2 linked regions of the Notamacropus eugenii genome follow. The protein of the gene in region 2 binds, or shares a complex with, the protein of the main gene of each other region. Links are inferred from orthologs where the notes say so. Each region holds a gene or a part of one and is shown on either strand. Other genes may lie near its edges. The genes, in order: PEX5L and HCN2.

Region 1 (10,052 bases), on a different chromosome or scaffold from region 2:
GGCCTCAGAGGCAAGAGTAGATGGTTAAGTGTCACCTCTGAAACATCCTGGCTTAATCTCTCAGTGCCTCCAGGTAAATCTCTAAAGGGGGAGCATGTGCTCCCAGTGTTACTGGTGGGAATTGATTAATACAATAATCCTTTTTCTCCCTTTTCATGTACCATACTAAAGATGTATTAAGGCAGAGCAGGTGGCAATCTATATTGGTAGAGGGAGTTTTCTTACTAGGAGTTCCCTATGCCAAAGAAGTCACTGGTCTGGTCTAAAAAAGAAGAGAAAAGAAAAGGGGAGAGGAGAGGAGAAGATAAGAAAGGAATGATACTGCCCTGCCTATTTCAAAAGGTTGTTATGAGAATCAAGCAAGAAAAGTTATGAGAGTACAATGTATTATCATAGGATTGTAGTTGCATAGATTTAGAGCTGGAAAGGACTTTAGAAACAATCTAATCCTCTAGAAAGTATTTTATATCAATGGAAGACTTCCTTTTACATTCTCTTCTAATTCATTCCACAGTCATCATTCATGTTTAGGCTCAGTTCATTGGCTGACTCTTCAAAATTTCTCTTATCTTGTTTTGCCTGTTCTGCAACATATTCATCCACAAACCATTTTGTAGGTGGTCCTTGACTCAGGCAACCCGTCAAAGATGGTCTCAGAACCCATCTTGCTAGGAAGGTCATAGATAGAAGAGAAAGCCCATAAGGACCAAGGCGAATGAACTCTAACACATATACACAGACAAATGCACAGACACAGACACAGACAGACACACACACCTCATAGGACGTCAGGTGCTATCAGGTATGTCAACATTCAGGAATATTGAACAAGCAATAGGAAATCAAAGGAAGCATCCACTTACCTGGTTTTGATCAACAATTATTTCGATGTCTTCATCACTGCTTAGCTTTCCATATCCTTTTTCTTTACTTTTCTTGTGAAAGAATAATTTTAAAAAGCATTTCAGTAGCTCGGTAATTTTGAAGCATCATTGATCTCTAGTCTCTTTCCATTAATAACTGGTCTAACTCTCAGTTAATATTCAATGGTAAAAAATGAATCCCTTTATTTCCCCTATGGCTAGTCATAATTCATTAAACATTCTGTAGCTCTTACATGTACATAAGCAAAGGTCCTCTAGTCTCGCTAAGCTGTTGGTTGCTTAATAACTCAGTTTTCATTTTTGTTGACTTCTCTGCTATCCGCCCTCCCCTCTTTGTACCCTCCAACCAAACTTTAGCTCCCTTCTCTAGGGAACTTGTTAATTTCATGGTTCCTGGTCAGTTTGAGTATTATCTAGGGAGACTTGAGCCATTACTAGTAGAAGAGATTCTTAATGATTTTTAGGTCATGGACCCACCTGGCAGGCTGGTGTAGCCTATGGACCCCTTCTCAGAATGTTTTTAAATGCATCAAATAAAGTACATATAATTACAAAGAAAAACAATCATATTGAAATATAGCTATATTATTAAGGTATATTATTATTATCTAGTTAAATATATGATATCAAGATTTATTATTATTATTATAAATATTAAGAAAACAAGTTTCCAGACCCCAGATTCCAGACCCTGCCTTAGAAGATCATAGTGGGCACACGTGGTCTTTGCACTTCTTTTTCAGTCTTGTAATTGTGTAAATAGGTGTTTAAGACTGAGGTGATTAAATGTTTGGCTCTCACACATTTCCTGAATCAGGGGAAAATGTTCATGCCCATATGACAAAATTAAAGTTGTTCTCTCTTTGTACATAGACCAGATGAGAATTACCATTGGGGAAACCCTCTGAGATAATAGTCACAAGATGGAACAAGAAACATTTTTAAACATTAAGGACATTGTTTAAAAGGAGAAACAAACAGATGATTGGCTAGATTGTACAGCCTTCCCACTAGCCTGACTATACTCAAGCCCCTCTTCTACCCTGATCACCACACCCCCAATCACTTCCACCAACGTACACATTCTTGTGAGGCTTTAGTTTGGAAATGGAGAGTAAAGATCATTTTGCTTCTGTCATAGTTGTGAAAACGAAGCCTGACTTCTTGCCTATTTGAACCCCACCTGAACCCCAGCTCAAGCTCTGTTGTTTCCGTGTAATTTGGGTCAGAAAATCCAAGATAAAAATACCTGTGGCCCATGCCTGTCATACTAGATGATCCCTAAAGTCATGAAAAAAATGACTAAATAGACACCCATACCCCAAGTTTATTTTTTCAAATGACATTGGCTTTTGTGAGTTGTCAATAAAAATTAAGAAACTTTAAAAACCCCCAACTTTTCTGTACTCTCAGCTGGTGTAAATTAGAATATACCTGTCCTTAAAGGGTACTGGTGTCATTTGAAAAGTCATAAATCTTTGAGAAACTAGTGGAGATAATATTTGTCCATATGCCAAGTCCTTGACCACTCAAATAACATTTCTACCCCAACTTTGCACAGCCCCCTGTTACCACCCCCCCCTTACATAATGAATGAGACAGCAGTAGTGCCTTCTCTAGCAAAGGGAGTCCTGAGTCCAAGTATACGGACGTAGACCTAAAACCTGTGCTTCCATTCGTTTATCCATGAATTTAGAATGGAATGGAATAGATGGTCATGGTGTTTCTCTGATTTTTTTTTTTTATCTCATTTGAGGTTAAATTTCAGGCTGGATGGAAATCAAAAAGAGCTTGGCTGACTTCCATCATCCTGCTTCTTCCTACCCATTCCAGTTCCCATCACTTTACACTTTGACCTTCTCAGTCTAACTGGGTGTTGGGAGGTAAATCACTCAGGCCATCTAAAGGAACGATTGTTTCAGAGAACCTCTTGGATTATTTGTATGTATACCTACCAAGTAGCTGACTTGTAGGGCCAGTTTTCTGGACAATAGGGCATTAAAGAGAGATGGGACATGAGTCCTTCCACTCATGTCACTCTTAGACATCCCAGAATTCCTTGCACCAACTGAACTGTGGCTTCATTGCCAGGGTTTGGCACAATAGGACCCTGAATCTGGCACAGCGATGACATTTAGAACATGCATCAAGGACTGGAGCATCCCTGAAGCAGTCTCCAGCCTGGGCAAGTTGTCATTGTCTCTCCCCCTTCCTCCCTCTTCCCTCTAGCCCTCTCCCTCTCCTTCCCCTTTCCTCTTTCTCTCCTGTTCCTAGCTCATATGTCAAGATGGGGCAGGCCATTAGCACAAAGAGGAATCGAAAACTTGATGGCTTCCTTTCCAAATTCTCCTTCTAGGGCATTTCTGTCCCCAGCTGAAGCTTCTTTTGAAGCTCATCTATTATTTACTCTTTGTTTCCTTTCCCACTCAATCCACTCTTCCATTACACTCTGTGCCCCCTGGAATAAAGCCCTTCCCATTAGCAAAGCTTTTCACTTCTATCAACATTTTCTCAGCTCTTTGGAGTTGAGAGTTCTGGGTTATTATGAACACAATTAGAGAAGAACCTTTCCTAATCTCCCAAACTCCATTTCTGATTGACATCTCTGCCAGGTCTCTCTCTTTCTCTGTCTGTCTGTGTCTCATCTCCTCTCCTCTCCTCACTCCATCTCTTTTCTTCCTTTTTTTTCACTGTCTCTTTCTGTTTGATTCGACTCTCTCTTTGTAACTCTCTCCCTGTCTTTCTGCTGCTTTCTCTGTCTCATCTCCCTTCCTCACTCTCACCCCTCTTTCTCTCTGCTTTCTTTCATCTCATTCTTTTTTCCTTCTTCACTTCCTCCTTCCCTCCCTCCCTCCTTCCTTCCTTCCTTCCTTCCTTCCTTCCTTCCTTCCTTCCTTCCTTCCTTCCTTCCTTCCTTCCTTCTTTCTCTCTTGCTCCCTCTCTCTGTCTCTGTTTTTCCTTTTTGTCTCTCCTTCTGCCTCTCTCCCTCTTCCTCCCTCTTCCCTCTAGTCCTCTCCCTCTCCTTCCCCCTTCCTCTTTCTCTCTTGTTCCTTGCTCATAGCCTACTTTCCCCTGTAATTGTGGTCTCTGATTCAAGCCGAACTCTATGGCATCTGGTTACTCAAAGTGAACAAGCATTAGTTCGCATCCCGAAGTGCTAAAAGACAATCTTCCTGAGCCCTGCCTTCTTAAGCCCCTGTTCAATAGCCAGCAGCAAGCCCCTCCTGCACATGGATCTTGAGCCCTGAATCTCCCACACTGGCTCCCCCAATCAAGCCCATTTCTGCAGTCGCCCCTCCAGCCCAGGGAGCTAAACACTGCTCTGCACTCTTGGGCATTCTCTCACTTACTGTTTATTCTAGTGCAGCAATAATCCTCTTTCAAGCACTTAGCTTCGCACTTGGACAGCTGGATCGCCAACCCAGACACTTCTTCAACTGGACTAGCTTTCCCCAGCTGGGAACCCTTGTCTTCTAGCTAAGTTCTTCTAATGTTTACCAAAAAGAAAAAAGAAAGAAAAAGAACCCTTCCTTAACACCATTCAAACCCCTAACTTCCACAACCCTGTGTGGGTTTTGGGAGCTGAAGGGCTAAGCAAGAGGGAGAAAGAAAAGTAATCTCAGCCCTTGTCCAACCCTGAGAGGCAGGGCTTCAGTGGGAGGAGAAGAAACTTCCTGTGCTCCTCCCTCCTCCTCTCACTGAAGAAAACAAGTCAGTAGCTGGCAGTATCATTTAAGGCCTTGAGTCCATACTTCTCCACACTTCTCACCTTAGTATTTTTGGCAACAGAGACAGAAACCAGGTTCCATGCTCAGTGGAAAAAAGGATTTGTTCTAAAAATCAAAGGATCTGGCTTGGAAACCCAACTCCACCTTTTTCACCCCTGTATAACCCTGAGTAAATCCTTTCACCACTCTGGGCCTCAGTGTCCTCATCTGTAAAAGTTGAGGCTTGCACTAGCTCGAAATCTGAACTACAGGAAAGTGAGGCATATGAGGTATAGGGCATAAGGGGAAAACAGGACATCTCTCTAAACTCCCCCAACATACCTCTAACCCTGAGACTTATCCCCATTTCATTTTAAGAACAGTCACTTTTAAAAACTTATTTCTTTTGTTTTTCAGGAGGAACTGGGTGAAAGAGACCCTCACACCTGCTTTACCTGCTCACCATCCTAGGACTAGCTTCATAGACTCTCTGAGTGAAATATAATGGGTTAAAGTTTGAACATAATTTAATCTGTTTCTTCTAGAAAAGTCCATAGTTACCTTCTTAGGAACTATGAACCTGGTAAATACATAGAATCTTAGATCCAGGGCATATGGATAACTTTCAAAGTCATGTAGACTGAAACATTTCCTCCCCATTTTTTTAAAACTGATGTTGAAACCGAGGCCCAGGGAGTTAGGATGACATGTCCAAAACAACATAGGTTGTAAGTGGCAAAGGTGAGATTTGAACTCAGGACCTCCAACTACACACCCAGATCACTTTCCATTGTACCACTCTATGTCCTATCCTGTTTTGCTTCTTGTAGCTGCACACTACTTCTCTACCTCTTGGGCCATCACCAAAAAAGAAGAAAATGTCCCAAACTAATAAGGATCATATTTTATACATGCCAGTAGAGTAAACTTTAAAACAGGAAGATTCCTTTGGAGGAAAATGGAAAATCATGGAAGCTTAGCCAGAATACATTACACAGGAAAACTTTATAAGCAAGAACTTGAGAAGATTTCACAGTATATAGTCTGGTCTATTTGAGTATAAATTAGAGGAGGAACACTTTTTTCTACAGAGCAAAAATAATTAAAAAAATTTATTGTGTTTTCAGGTGAAATCTACACCATACAGCCATTTTGAATGGCTATTTTTACATATGAAGTAGCTGTCTCATCATAACTCTGAATCAGTGAGCAGAATCAAAGAATGAGAATGGATCTCAGAGGTCACTTAGCCAGCTATATTACTGAAAATCCCCATTACATTATACAACCTTTGTTTCAAGACCTCCAGGGAGGGAGGATCCCATTTCCTTTTTGGACTGCTCTAAAAGTTAGGAAATTTTTCTTTCCATTAAGCCTAAATTTGACTCTTTGATACTTCCCTCTAGTTCTGCTTTCTGGGGAGTAAGGAGAAGAGTTCAGTCTTCAACTCCCCAGTTGGGTCTTCCAACTCCCCATTCAGTTCCTTTTTGATCAATACTAAACTGTCTCTCAATAGTAAGATTCTGTAAAAATGAGGAAGGATTGTACATTATAGATTAACCTCATGAGAATCTCTGTTTTAGTAGAAAGAATGATAAATGCTGACTTTTTAGATTTTGCTTTTTGATGCATACAAAGTCCTTTACAGTCAACATTTTGTTTGAGCCTCACAACAGCCCTTTGAGTTACACAATATAGTTCATGAATTATTATACCCTTTTCATAGATGGAAACACTGAGGTTGGGGTATCAACAAATCATTTACAGATTATTAACAAGGTTATAAGATAGGGAAGATCATGGTATAGTACTGTAGATAACATTAGGAAGACTTAGGTTAGAGTTTTGTTATATTTGTCCATGGGACCCTGAGCAAGTCACTTAAATTCCCATTCCCAAGTCCATAAATTACAAAGGAGAAGCTAATATGCATTGGTGGAGGGAGTTAATGTGCTGCGAATGAATGAAATCAGTCCTGGATGAAAAGTAAAATAAAATAATTCTTGTCGAAATATACTCTCTAATCAGTCTTATCGATTTAATCCTTCAGTAATAAGTAGATATAGTCCAAATTGATTAAATAGCTGCATTGACTGGAGCAGGAATCAGATTATGTCTTCTGACATATATGCACATATATATATATATACATATATATATATGATAAATTGTCTAAAATATGAGAGTATATAATCTAGTCTTAGGAGGAAAGATGCAGTCAGTGAACCAGAGTGTGATTGTGCTGCTTTACTAGCTAGATGACCTTGAGCAGGTCTTCTCCTTCCTGGACCTTGTTTTTCCCAGCTGTAAAATGGATGTTAAACTAGGTGACTTCTGGGGTCCCTTCTGGCTCTGATCTATGATCCCATAAGCCCATGACCTCTCTGAGATTCAGTGGTGCCTCTATAAAATGAGAGGTTGGACTAGATCAAGGTTCTTATTAATTTTTTGTATGTCAGACACGTATGGCAGTCTGGTGAAGTCTGTGGGTCTTCTATTAATAATGTTTTTGAATGTATAAAATAAAGTACATAGGATTATATTAGAAAAGAGTTTTGTATGTATATATATATTATATATGCATGTGTGTCTATATACATATACCTATCTATCTATATATGTATGTGTGTATATGTATATGCATACTGATATAAATATATGTATGTGTATATATATATATGTACATGTATATCTGTGTGTGTGTGTGTATGTTTACAGGCTATAGATTAAGAACTTCTGAAATAGGTGGTCCATAAGATTCATTTGCAATTGGCAGTCCTGTGGATCTTTGTGCCAATTAAAACTATAAAACTGAGTAGTAGTAATAAAGTGCTTTATTTCCTTACAAGAACCTTTTGGGGCAGATAGTGGACTTCTTACTATTCCCATTTTACTGATGAGAAAAGTGAGGCCCAGAGAGGCTGTGGAGCTTTTTCACTATGACATAGCCAGTAAGTGTCTGAGGAAGGATTTGATCCTATCTCTTGATTCCAAGTTGTCACTCCAACCACCACTACTTCTTCATAGAGCAAGCCAATTTACTTGGATTGATTGATTCTGCCTGTCCTCCTGGAAAAGAATTCATGAGTTTAGACACTCAGTTTTTCTACCTGGTCAGTTACTTAACCAAAGCGGAACCCTCCAAAGAAATGTCACAAGAAATCTTTGTCTCCAAGCATCTTTTCATATTTGGCTTTAGTTAGAAAAAGCTGAAAAATCCCTTTGCCCAGAAGGGGGAGAGTACGTGTGGCACATGATGCAGAGTCAGAAGGGGAGACCAACTTCTTCATAAATTGGACATTGGCTGAAATAATGATAAAATAAAGTCATATTCTATAACATTTGAAGGTCTTCAAAGTGATTAACCTCATCACTGGGTAGTGCAAGTATTATAAACCTTTTTTATAGCCAAGGAAACTGAGTTTCAAAGAAAGGAAAGGATTTGTTTGGGTCACATAGCAAGTTGGGGAGGATGGAAGAAAAATCACAGTCTTGGTCAAGATTGACTTTAGTCATGAATAGAAAATCAAGGAGCATGGATCAGGCACTAGTGGACATGACTTTCTTGAGCTGCTTACTCTGAGCAAAAACGACTTGGGTGGTGGTGGGCGAAGTAAGGAGTAGGGCTCTGCCCTACCTAAAACCTGTTAGGAAAATGCTTTAGTAATTAGTTTCTCTACTCCAAAAAATGATTTCACCTTTTGAAATTAATCTATACCAAATAAGTCATAGGGAAATTAAAAATGTTGAAATGAAATATAATGATAAGTAACATTTCTACATATGCAAAACCTTTAAACGTGTGATCTCATTTGATCTTTGCAGCAGCCCTGAAAGGTAGGTGCTTTTATGTAATTATTATTCCTATTTTACTGATTAATAGATTGAGTCTCAGAAAGGTTGACACCAAAAGTCACATAGCCTATTAGTAACTGAGAAAGGATTCAAAACCAAGGCTTCCTGATATAGAAATTTAATTTTCTTCTTATCTTATTGCCTAGTAGGAAGCATAGGAAGCATAGCATTGTGGGTTAGTGAAGCCAGCTCATGACCTTTAAAATAAGCACTTTTCTCTTGATTTTTTTCTTATTACTGCTAAACCAATCAGCACTTCAGCATTGGCTCCAGACTTTCTGTGAGTCTAAAGAATCAGGGCATCACTACAACCTGAGAGAGTAATATTCCTAGGGGAAGAGGGAAAGAGGCAAAGGAGAAAATAAGGAAGAATAAATCTAAGTTCAACCGAGTTATCACTTATCTTTTAGATGACTGGCCCTGGGAATACAAAGACAGACACTACTAAGCTTCTGCTCTCAAGAAGTTTATGAGAGGGTTGGAGGGAACTATATCCTGAAATAGCTCTGACAGGAAGATATAAGGCACATAGGAATAAAATAGCAAAGGAGAGGATTAATTAAGGACTTGGAGAAATTTGTGAGGAAGAACACAATTTTAGCTGAGAAAGAGCTTTGCCAACGTATCCTGGGGCAGAATAATTTGAGAACTTCTTACTCCTCTTCTGAGAACACATTCTTCCAATAATCCAACTTCTGCCTTGGGAGGTAGTGAGTTCCCCCTCATTGTGTGGCTTTAAGCAGAGCTAGATGACTTGGTTGGGTAATTTGTAGAAAGGTACAAGTTAGACCAGATGGCCCTTTAGGTCCATTCCTACTCTGATATTCTGTGATTTTTGTAAACAATCAACAAGAACTTGTTAATTGCTTACTATGAGTCAGGCACTGTACTAAGCATAGGAGATATAAAGAAAAAGCAAAAACAGTCCCTACTGTTTTTGAAAACCTTATAATCAAATGGAAGACAGCCTATATAAATCAGTTGGATTTTCCCTCACCCAGTGGACTTATTTCAGGAATTTCCCTTTGCTGTTTATAGGAAAGCAGACATCAGGGGTGGGGGGCAAGGAAGGTCACACCTGCAACTGCCCGTTGGTACAGGAGCCAATAATATAATTCCTCTGGAGTAGCTATTTTTTTCCCTGAAAGAATTTCAAAACTGTATCAAAATCAAACTGTGAGAATGTGAAGATAAGACAAAACTAGCTACAGGAGGCATTTCTCTCCATCTTGAATTTGGGGATAGATAATCCACCAATATGTTGTCACTGAAAGTCACTAGGGATGAAAGGAAAATGAGAGAAGGCATGTGTAGACAACAAATGGCAGGGTTTCTTTAATTGCTTTAGAAAGCTCCTCTGAAGCCATCCTGCTATGTCCAGGCAGTCAAATACTCAACTAACACCTTCTGTAGGAGGTCTTTCCTGATCCTCAGCTACTAGGGACTTCTCTAGAATTGTCTTCCATATAGTCAACAAGTATTTATTAACCATTCACAGGAGGTCCCCAATTGTATTAGGCACTGGTTGTAGTTATGAAAACCAGATGACATGGTCCTGTTTCTTGAGTAGACAGTCCAATAGGAGAAATAGGACAAAGAGAAGTGA
Region 2 (10,583 bases):
TATCTCTATTTTGCAGAACAGGAAACTGAGATCCAGAGAACAGAAGAGACTTGCCACATAGTGACAGAGCCATGATTAGAACCCAAGTTTCCTTATTTCTAATCCAGAGCTAATCATATCCCAGTAGCAAGGATATCAAAACCCTTGGGCAGACCTTCATCTCTAGAACACCAGCCTCTTGCCTCTTACTCCTTTACCCCATTCACTCATCCCTAAATACTAGATGAGGGGTGTGTGTGTGTGTGTGTGTGTGTGTGTGTGTGTGTGTGTGTGTTTACACACGCATGAGTAAATGCAATAGCTGCATACAAAAAAAAATCATGGGTAAGTGGACTAATGAGAGGAAGGAATGGAGGAGAAGATGCCAGGAGGCAAGATGCCTGAGTGTGGGGCCTGGCTCCACAGAGCAGGGGAACCTGGCAGAATTCCTCATGAATACTCAGAATAGTCAGAGAGTGGCTTCTCTCTCTTGGCCCTACTTACTGGCCCCAGGAAGGAGCAGACTTGTGTCTAGAGGGGTCCTTTCTTATTTACAATCAGAAGTCTTCCTAGCATAGGAATCAGGCATATGTAATTTTCCTTGTGGACGATTCAGGGTCTTCTCACACCTTGATGTCCCCAGTGCCTCTCACCAAGAGATCTAACCTGTCCCATACATCTGGACTCCCTCTCTTATTTCATCCAACTGTGAATCAAATGAGATCCAAGCTGAGAGGGACTTTAGAATGCAGCATGTCAGAATTGGGAGGGATCTTAAGAATATAGTGCACAGAATGTTAGAGTTGGACAGGACTTCACTCCCATCCCTTCCTTTTAGAAAGAGGGAAACTGAGGCTCATATGGAGGAAGGGACTTGCATAAGGTCACATAAAAAGCTAACACAACAGTCAAAACACGGAAGTCCAGGTTTTCTGACACCAGATTCAATCCTTTATATTATACTAAACGCAGACCTCCTGGATCCCCAACCTCTTCTCTATCCACACCACTTCCTCTCCAAGATATTAATTTCATCCTGGAGTGGTTTGGTTCAGAGAGTTTGGAACACCAAGGGGTAGGCAAGGAAGACTATTCTTTGTGGGATCATCTTCCCAGCTCAAAAGCATGGAGTTCTGAAGTGATCTAACTCTCCTGGATTAGGGAAGCCCACTGGTTGGGAGGGTCTAGATCAGGGGTGGGGAACCTGTGGCCCTGAGGTAACATATGACCCTCTAGGTCCTCAAGTGTGGCCTTTTGACTAAATCCAAACTTCACAGAACAAATTCTCTTAATAAAAAAAAATACTTCCTCCATAGGGTGATTCCCTAGGGACTTCCCTAGGTCCCCCAGGGCAAGTAGCCCTGTCTATAAGTAGTTACCCTAGAATTAGATCTCACCCTAAGGAGCCATCCAAAGTCCAAAGTGGGACTGGGACCGTTTGGTCAACCCACACATAGGATGATTGGAGAGAGACCCACTTTGGGAAGGGGGTAGGGGACATTCTGCAAAGAGAAAGAATAATTCCTTATCCCTCCCTGCTGGTGTCTCCAAGGAGTGCTAGGCATCTGTCAGTCATCCTCTTGACACTCCCAAAGGAAAACATTCCATCCATATTTTCTCCTTACCCATCTTGCAGAAAGGCAAACTGTGACCCTGAGGAGAGTGGTTTGAGTGGATTTCTACAGTGAAGTAAAAGAATGATTTGGCCCAGAACAAAAGTGTTCTGCATTCCCTAGTTCCATGTTTCCTTCACTACTCTCAAAATGAGGTTTGTTTAGAGAGAACTAACTGAGCATATGAGACATCCTGCCTCTCCCCCCCACCCCCCGCCCCGGGAAGATCAGGCACATGCCCCTAGATTCAGAATATAACTAAAAAGACTGGGGAAGGGTCCCTAAGACACTTTCCTGAAGAAAGTGTAGCACAAAGAACTTCCTTTCCCCAAGGAAATTGAAGGAATCCTCCATATTGTTTCTGAGATCCCTCCCCTCCCCCCAAAAATCTCTCCCTACACCTTTGAATCACAGAATTCAGAACTAGAGATAATCTAGTTTAATTCTCTCACTTTTCAGATCTAGAAAGAACAATGGACTTTCCCAAGGTCATACAGGTGGTAAGTAGCAGATTTATGCTTCAAACTCAGATCTTTTGATTTCAAATCCTCTGCTCTTTTCACAACACAATGCCTCCTTCCTTTCCCCTCTCACTAGGTTCAGTAGGATTGGAACAAAACAGGGGTGAAGTTCTGCCCCCTGAAACTGAGTAGGGATGGAGGCCTAGAGGGACTGACAATAGAATAGGGCCCAAGCATTCTTGTTCCCCCTATTCTGGACCTCCAATTCTCAGATTTCCCCTAAGAATAGCATGTTTAGGCATATGTAGATGGGAGAGAAGGAAACACAAGGGGGAAAGAAGAGACAAGATCTAGGGGGCTTTCAATCTGGTTTTAAGCAAAAAACTATAAGCAGAGGGACAGGACAGGGATGGACAGAAGACAGCAAACAGGGAGGACAGTAGGAGGGGGGAGCTGCCCAAGGCCCAGCCCTGCGGTTGCAGGAAGGTGGTTACTCGGGCATGAGCAGGCATGGTAAAGATCCTTAAGTGGAGTGTCCTGCGCTGCTGTCCTTGGTGCTGAAAGACTTAGAGCACAGAGACTTGGGAGAAGGCATCGGAAGACTTTTTTATGTCTATATTTTACAGAACAAAAATCTGAGTGTGTCACACACCGCACCGACACATGTGCATATATTGACACCACACCACCACACAAACAACTCTGAGAGAGATAACACACATGCACACGCAGATAACGCAAACTCACAGTCAAACCACCCATTCACATAGACATGTACCTCACCAAGACATACAGTGACACATGGTCACACACAGAAAACAAGAGACAGGGGCCTCCCCCTCTCAGATTCAGAACCAGACTAATATGGTGGAGAGGAAGGGCAGCTCTCAGACCGACGTCCTTGAGGCTCTGTTCCTCCACCCCTAACATTTCTCCTCAGGCCGGTGCACCTAAAGCCCGACCTGGGAGCTCTGGCGTCCAATCCCTCCCAGCTGCCCCCGCCCCTTCCCCGTCCTTCCTCAGTGCCCTCTTTGCCCTAGCTGCCCAGGTCTGGACTGGGCGGGTTCCTCCAAAAAGATTCGGGCCTTCCCAATTCCTTGACCTTCCCCTCTATTCGTCCTTTTCACCGACCTCTCCACCCACTCCTCCTCCTCACATAGAAGCACTCCCCAGGTCTCGTGGCATCTCTCCTAGATCCCTGAATCTTGACGTGTTCGCCCCTCTGCTATGCGGCTACCCCGACCCCCTCTCTCCAGGCCCCTCCCCCTCCACATACAATATGCCGCTCTTTGACCTCCAGTCCCCAGACCCTATACAAAGTGCCACTCTCCGACCCTCAATCCCTAGACCTCCCCCCGCCCCAAACAATACGCCCCTCTGTGACTCCAGAGGTCAGCTCTCCCTCCAGCAGCCCCCTCTCCACTCTCTCCTTCCTCACCTTGGTCGCTCCTGAAAGTTCCCCCCTCCCAACACTAGACCCCCCCCCCCACTTCACCTTCACCTCCAGAACCTCTTGCAGGGTCTCCCTCCCACCTCCAGACGCCCCTTCCCTCCTCGCCCCCAGCGCCCCCTGCAGGCCTGCCCCCATTATTGAGCCCTCTGCCCCGTAGAGCCGGGCGGCGGGCACCTGAAGTCGCTGTAGGGGTGGATAATCCAGGCCCCCGCCGACTTGACGCGCTCCTGCTCCCGCTCCACGGCCTTCTGGCTGCCGAACATGCGCAGCGAGAACTTGTTGACCCCGGGCTGGAGCATGGCCCCGAACTGGCGCTGCAGGAAGCTCGCCTGGCTGCCCCGTGCCTCCCCGCCGGGGCCGGCCTCGTCGCAGTCCCCGGGCCCCGCCTCGTCGCCCGCCTTGAGAGCTGGCCCTGGGGAGCCGGGGCCCGAGGCAGGGCCGGAACCGGGCGCGCACGAGAAGGAGACCTTGGGGCCCCGTGCTGCTGCTGCTGCGGCGGCGGCCGCATCCTCCGGGGGGCCCGGGCCGGGGCCGGGGCCCGGGCTGCACTGCGGAGGCTCCCCCCCGCGCCGGCACTCGCCGTTCGGGCTGCCCTTGGCCGCGGTCGGGCCGGGGGGCGGCTTCCCGGGCCGCGCGCTCAGGCTGCCCCGGGCCCGGCCGCCAGGCTCTGGCTCCGTCTCGGGCTCCGGACCCCCGGGGCTGCCGGGACCCCCGGGGCCGCCCGGGCCGGGCTCGCGCTCCCGCTCCCGCTCGGGCGGGTGCTGCTGTTGCTGCGGCGGCGGCGGTGGTTGCGGTTCGGGCTGCGGCGGCTCCGGCTTAGGCGGGCACTGGGGCTGCTGTGGCGAAGGCTGCGGCGGAGGCGGCGGCGGCTGAGCCGGGGACGGCCCCTGGCCCTCCCCGGGCCGCGCGCTGCCCGCCCGCCCGTCCATGGCCGCGCAGAGCTGGGCAGTGCGGAGTCCGCCCGGCCGCCCCGAGCCCGAGGCGGGGAGCGGACCAACAGACCCCGGGAGGGAGGGGCAGGCACACGCGCCGCCGCGCCGGGAGGAGCCGAGGGAGGAGCCTAAGGCGCGGAGGGGCAGAGGGGGAGCGGGCGCGGGGTGAAGAGGCTGGCATCTCACAATATCAGAACTGGGAGGGACCTCAGGACCCAGAGTGTCCGAGCTGAGAGGGACCTCGAACCTAGACTGTCTAGAGCTGGGGCAAGGGAGGGAACTTGGAACCCAGGAGCTCGAATGTCCGAGGTGCGAGGAACCTAGAACATGGGATGTCACACCTGGGAGGGTCCTCAGGACCCAGAGCGTTTGAGTCGAAAGGGACCTAGAACCTAGGATGTCACAGTTGGGGTGCTGTGAGGAGTACCTGGCAACATAGAGCTGGGAGGGAAGAGAAAATCTGGAACTCAAGAATCCAGAATGTCAGAGGTGATAAGGGACCTAGGACATACAATGTCGGAGCTGGAAGGGACCTTGAAATATAGGATGTCAGCATTTGGAGGGCTAGGGGTTAGATCTCAGGAAAGAATGTGTAACTGAAAAGTACCTTAGAGGCTCTCCAGTCTAATACCCTCATTTAATAGGAAACTGAGGCCCCAAAGGGTGAAAAATTCATCCAAGGTCCTTCAGATACTTGGGATTTGAACCTAAGACCTCTAATTTTCGAGACAGTGATCTTTTCACTGTATTAGGCTGCTTAGAAGACTGAATATCAGAGCTCTAAGGGATCTTAGAACATAGAATATTCTTCTTAAGATATAGATCCTCTAAATTCCTGTTGACTATCCCTAGGCTACTTTCATCAAGTAGGCAGTTTCAGAAGTAGGTAGGGGACTGAACCCACCCACCTACCCAAAGGCTCAGCTGCTGGATCTCTTCATCCTTCAGAAGACAGGAGGAGAAAAGACAGTCCATCTGTTCTCCCCAATCCCAGTGGCTGATGGCAGCTGAGGTCTCCTGGCCTGTCTTCCAACTGGCAGCTCCCAAAGGAGCTGAGAAACTGGGACAGTCAAAGCTAGGTTCCTTCTGTCTTCCCCATCCTTTTCCAGCATGAGGTGGACATAAGGGATGGGATGGATGAGTTGGCCAGTGCTTCCCCCAAACTGGGACTTGGGCTAGGAACCCCCTATTCTGTGATTGTTCATAGGCATTATTAAGTAGAAAAGGAACCCTACAGAGTCACAGGAAACAAGTCACCAAATGTCGGAGCAGGGAGAAACTTGAGAGGTTTTTTGGTACAATCAGTTACTGAGTCCTTTCCACAATGGCCTCATTAAATGATTATTCAGCCTCTGCTTGAAGACTGACGGTGAGGGGGAACACATTACACCCCAAGGCAGCCCACACTACTGAGGGACACTCTCATTGCTTGAAAGGCTTTCCTGTCATCAAACCTATATCTGCCTCTCTGAAGTTTCAGTCCCATTGTTTACTGTTTTAGCCCTCTGGAGACAAAACAAAGCTAAACTCTCTTCCTCATTCAACTCTTTAAATACATGAAGACAGCTATCATTTACACATACACACACACAAACACACATACACACGCACCCACCATGCTTTCCACCCCCATCACACAAGTCTTCTCTGAGCAGGTGGTTCTCAAATTTTTTGGTCTCAAGACCCCTTTGCACCCTAAAAACTATTGAAACTCCCCAAAGACCTTTGTTTATATAGGTCATATTTTTTTTATATTTACCACATGAGAAATTAAAACTGATAAAAATTTAAAAATTTATTAATTCATTAAAATAACAATAATAAACCCATCACATGTTAACATAAATAACATTTTGGTGAAAAACAACTATTTTCCAAAACAAATTAGTGAGAAGACTGAAATTGTTTACCTTGGTTTGTTTTTGTTTTTTTTTAATCTTTTTAATGTCTGGCCTATTTGAAGACAGTTAAATTTTCCTATCTGCTTCTGCATTCAACCTGTTGTGATGTGTTGTTTTGTTTGGAGCGTATGAAGAAAATCTGACCTTCCACATCTATGTAATTGGGAAAGGGAGGAGTAAATAGGCAAATGACATCTTACTAACATTATTAAAATTAGATCCCACAGATTCCCTGAGAGTATTCTTGTGAACCCCTAGAAAGCCATATGCCACACTTTGAGAACCACTGCTCTAGGCTAAACATTTCCATTTTCTTCAACCAGTTCTTATACAACATTTTCTCTAGTTCTTTCACCATCCTGACCATACTTTTCTGAACACCTGCTTCATTTTCTTTGCCTTCTCCAAAACTAAACATGATCCTTCAGATATGGTTGGATCAGTTATCCAAGAACCCCCTTGGTTTTGGACACCATCTTTCTCTTAATTCCACCTAGGATACATCTACCTCAGTGGATCTGAGATGTGATTTTTATGAATATTCCTATCAAAGATGCAGATCACACAATCCATCTTGTGCATGGCTTCCTGGAAACCCACTATAGCCCTATGGGCTATCTTTTTTGGCTACCATATAACACTGTTGACACATACTAAACTTGAGGTCCATTAAAACCCCCAGATCTTTTTCAGAGGAACCAGTGACTTGCCATATCTCCCTCATTCTATTCTTGTGAACTTTACTTACAGAATCCAAGTGTAAAACTTAATATGTCTCTTATTAAGTTTTATCTTATTAGTTTCTGCCCATTAGTCTAGTCCATTGAGCTCTTTCAGATTGTGACTTTCAACTATTATGTTAACTGGTCCTCCCAGCCTTGTGTCATCTGCAAATTTGACAGTCATGCCTTCTAGGACATCATCTAAGTCATTCTTATAAATGTTGAACACCACAGGAATCAGGAATGAGATTCTTGGGAAATTATACCAGAAACTGGCCTCCAAGTTGACATAGAATCATTAATGACAGCTCTGTGTAAGATCAATTCAAGAAGTTCTGACTTTACCTTACTCTGCTATTGTTCAGGTCATGATTCTTCATCATCTCAAAAAGGATAGCAGGAATGAATGAAAGAGTGAATGAATGAATGAAAAATTAATGAAAAGGACATCATTCACAAGGACAGCATGAGAGATTTTGCCAAAGACCTTGCTGAAATCCAAATGTCCTATGGCAACAGAATTACTCATTCTACTAATAACCCTTCACAAAAGGAAATGAGGTTAATCTGATCTAATCTATATTCTCCTGGATCAGTCAATAAGTCTTGGTATGACTTTGGGAAGTCACAGGATCAGAGAACCTCAAAACTGGAAGGAACTTTAGAGACCACCTGGAAGTTGAACAAAAATCTCTTCTATGACTTCTCCACCAAGTGGTCGGTCTTGCCATCACATGACCATGTCTAATGAGAGATCTCTGGAGTTATGCAGAACAAGTCTAATGCCCATTTCATTGTTTCATCTGTTCAGTTGTTTTCAGTTGCATGACTCTGTGACTCCTTTGGGGGTTTTCTTGGCAAAGATACTGGAGTAGTTTGCCATTTTCTTCTCCAGTTCATTTTACAGGAGAGGAAACTGAGACAAATAATGTTAAGTGACTTGCCCAGGGTCTCACAACTAGTAAGTCTCTGCAGCTGGATTTAAACTCAGAAAGATGAGTCTTCCTGACTGCAGGCCTGGCACTCTATTCATTACAATGCCACCTAGCTGTCCCCTATTTCAAATACTTCAAAGTTATTGTGGTTTCCCCTCTCAAGACTAAGGAGAAACATTTTCAACTCACCCATGCCCACATAATCTCATTCTTTTACCAACACAATTGTCATCTTCGGAAGGCTCTCCAAAGTCCCTTCCCCTGTTTCTTCAGTTTCTTGATCTTTAAAATGAGGGGACTGGACCAGATAATCATCAAAGTCCCTCCCAGCTCTAATAGCCAGTGTTCTAATATGCCTTTAAATTTCACGTTCTGTGTTCCAAGGTCTTTTCCAGCTCTGCTACTTTGTGTTTTGTTTTCTTCTAGTTTTGACCTAATATTCCTTCTACCTGTGCCAGCCAGACAGAGAGACAGATGGGCTTTTGGACAGGCAGAGCCAGGCTGTCTGTACTGAAGCTGCCACTGCTTGCATTTCTACCACAGGGGTTAGAGCCTGGGCTAGGGTAGGTCTGAGATATGCTGGACCTGCTTGGACCTGCCCAGCTGAGAAGGAAGTTAAACAGAGATGGGGGCTGCTTAGAGCAGGCTCTGTCAACCCGGGACCCCCTAGGGTCTGGCTTAGTGTTCAGGCTGAGGTGGATGTATTTGAAAGGGCTTTGATCTGGGCCTTTGGAATATGTCACCCTGGGCAAGAAGCCAGGACCCTGGTGTCTGGAGCTGAAAAGTCGTGATTATGAGAAAGGGAGGAGAAAAGATGTTCCAATCTTTCCTCACAGGGGCTCACTGCATGCACATGGATGCCCTGCAGGGACTTGGGCTCATCAGTGATTAGAGTTAGTTAGGCTCTGACCCTGAATACTAGGCCATGGGTTGAGTGACCCAATGCTCCGGTTCCTGAGGTTTCCCCTACTCCCTACCCCTGGCACAAGCTCCAATGCCCCTCAGGGACCACTCACGAATAGGAAGACCATAAAAGATCTAGGGTTCAAGATACTGTACCATAAGGAAAGGGATTAGTGATGGACTATCTCAACCTTTCACTCTCTTGGCTAATATATTTGTGAGAAGATTCGTTGGCTGGTCTGGAACCTGACTGAGGGCTGAGCAGGTTCTCTCCCTCAGACTACTGCTTCCTCTTAACTGTGGAATTTTTTTCTCTTCTTCCCAATTCCTGTCCTCATACTAGGGAACTTTGACATACATGTTGACTATCCCTCAAATACTAACCATTCAGTTCCTCAACCTACTCACTTCCCATAACCTGCTCATCCACTTCACCTCAGTCAGGCACACAAAGTGGTCCTTCCCTTGATCATCACCCACAAATATACCACTACCACATTCAAGAATTCCAAAGTCCCTCATCTGACTATAATTTATTGTCTTTTCACCTCTCCCTCTGCTTTTCCTTATAAAACTCTATTCATTGTCTGTACCATGACCTACAGTCCCTTGATCCCTGAATTCTCCCCTAGGCCATCTCCCCTGCACCAGCTACTCTCTCATATTTTCTCCATTTTGATCCATGGTAAACAAATTTAGTGTCATCCTCTTTTGATCCCTAACACCCTTATCTTTTTGCTGATTGTGCCCTGACAAGCCTCAGCCTTGGATCACTCCCACCATTTGTAGCCTTCACTCCTAACCACATGCTACTGAAAGAAACTGAAGAAAATCACCTGGTCTATTACAAATTTTTGTTACACAATCTCAACTGGGCCCTCACTGCTGCAAGGCAATCTTTCTATGCCTCCCTTTTCAACTCACTATCCCACTCACTACTCTGGCTCTTCCAGATCTTTTCATCCTTCCTCAAACCTCCCTCTTCCTCTCTTTTTCCTCCCTTCTCAACTGAACTGCCTCATTTTATAGAAAAAATCAAGGCCATTCACTGTGAGCTCCCTCTTTTCCACTCTCTCTCAGTTCATATCACTCAGGTGCCTTCTGCCCCACTCTCTTCCTTCACCCTTATCTCACATGATTCCTTACCAAGAATAACCCTTCCACTTGTTCAAGTGATTCTATCTCTTCCAACACACTCCCCCGTTTGTCATCTCTCACTTATCTTCCATCTCTCCCCCTCTACTGGCTCCTTCCCTACTGCCTACAAACATGCCCATGTCTTCCCCATCCTAAAAAAATCCTCACTTTGTCCTTCCATACTGTCCTCCTATATCTCTTCTGCCTTTTGTGACTAATTCTTCAAAAAGGCTATCTACAATAGGAGTCTCCACTTTCCCTCCTTTCACTCTCTTCTTAACCCTTTACAGCAGCTAACTGGTGCAGTAGATAGAGCACCAGTGCAGGAATCAGGAGGACCTGAGTTCAAATCTCATCTCAGACACTTGACACTCACTAGCTTGTGTGACCTTGGGCAAATCACTTAACCCCAATTGCCTCAGCCTGGGTCATCTCCACTCATCCTGATGAATTTCTGGTCACTGGATTCAGATGGCTCTGGAGGAGAAGTGAGGCTGGTGACCTGCACAGTCCTCCCTCACTCAAAACAAAGTCAAGTGCAAGTCAT

Evidence for each region.
Region 1: the proteins of HCN2 (region 2) and PEX5L are in contact, whole or in part, in a crystal structure (PDB 4EQF), measured with the Mus musculus proteins. The link is inferred for Notamacropus eugenii from reciprocal best matches to the Homo sapiens genes HCN2 and PEX5L. Residues at the interface, in NP_032252.1 of Mus musculus: Leu859, Ser860, Ser861, Asn862, Leu863; in NP_001156988.1 of Mus musculus: Glu315, Glu317, Val343, Asn347, His426, Asn453, Arg454, Ala457, Thr458, Ala460, Asn461, Tyr472, Arg484, Tyr487, Asn488, Ile491, Ile494, Ile537.

Annotation. Positions count from the first base shown.
Region 1 is NC_092877.1:344,269,021-344,279,072, reverse strand, and holds the start of PEX5L (PEX5-related protein), read right to left. Parts: upstream 4,470-10,052; 5' UTR 4,235-4,469; intron 3,001-4,234; 5' UTR 2,933-3,000; coding exon 2,840-2,932; intron 936-2,839; coding exon 864-935; intron 1-863. UniProt on the Homo sapiens protein: Accessory subunit of hyperpolarization-activated cyclic nucleotide-gated (HCN) channels, regulating their cell-surface expression and cyclic nucleotide dependence.
Region 2 is NC_092875.1:69,345,549-69,356,131, reverse strand, and holds the start of HCN2 (potassium/sodium hyperpolarization-activated cyclic nucleotide-gated channel 2), read right to left. Parts: upstream 4,474-10,583; 5' UTR 4,436-4,473; coding exon 3,681-4,435; intron 1-3,680. UniProt on the Homo sapiens protein: Hyperpolarization-activated ion channel that is permeable to sodium and potassium ions. Displays lower selectivity for K(+) over Na(+) ions. Contributes to the native pacemaker currents in heart (If) and in neurons (Ih).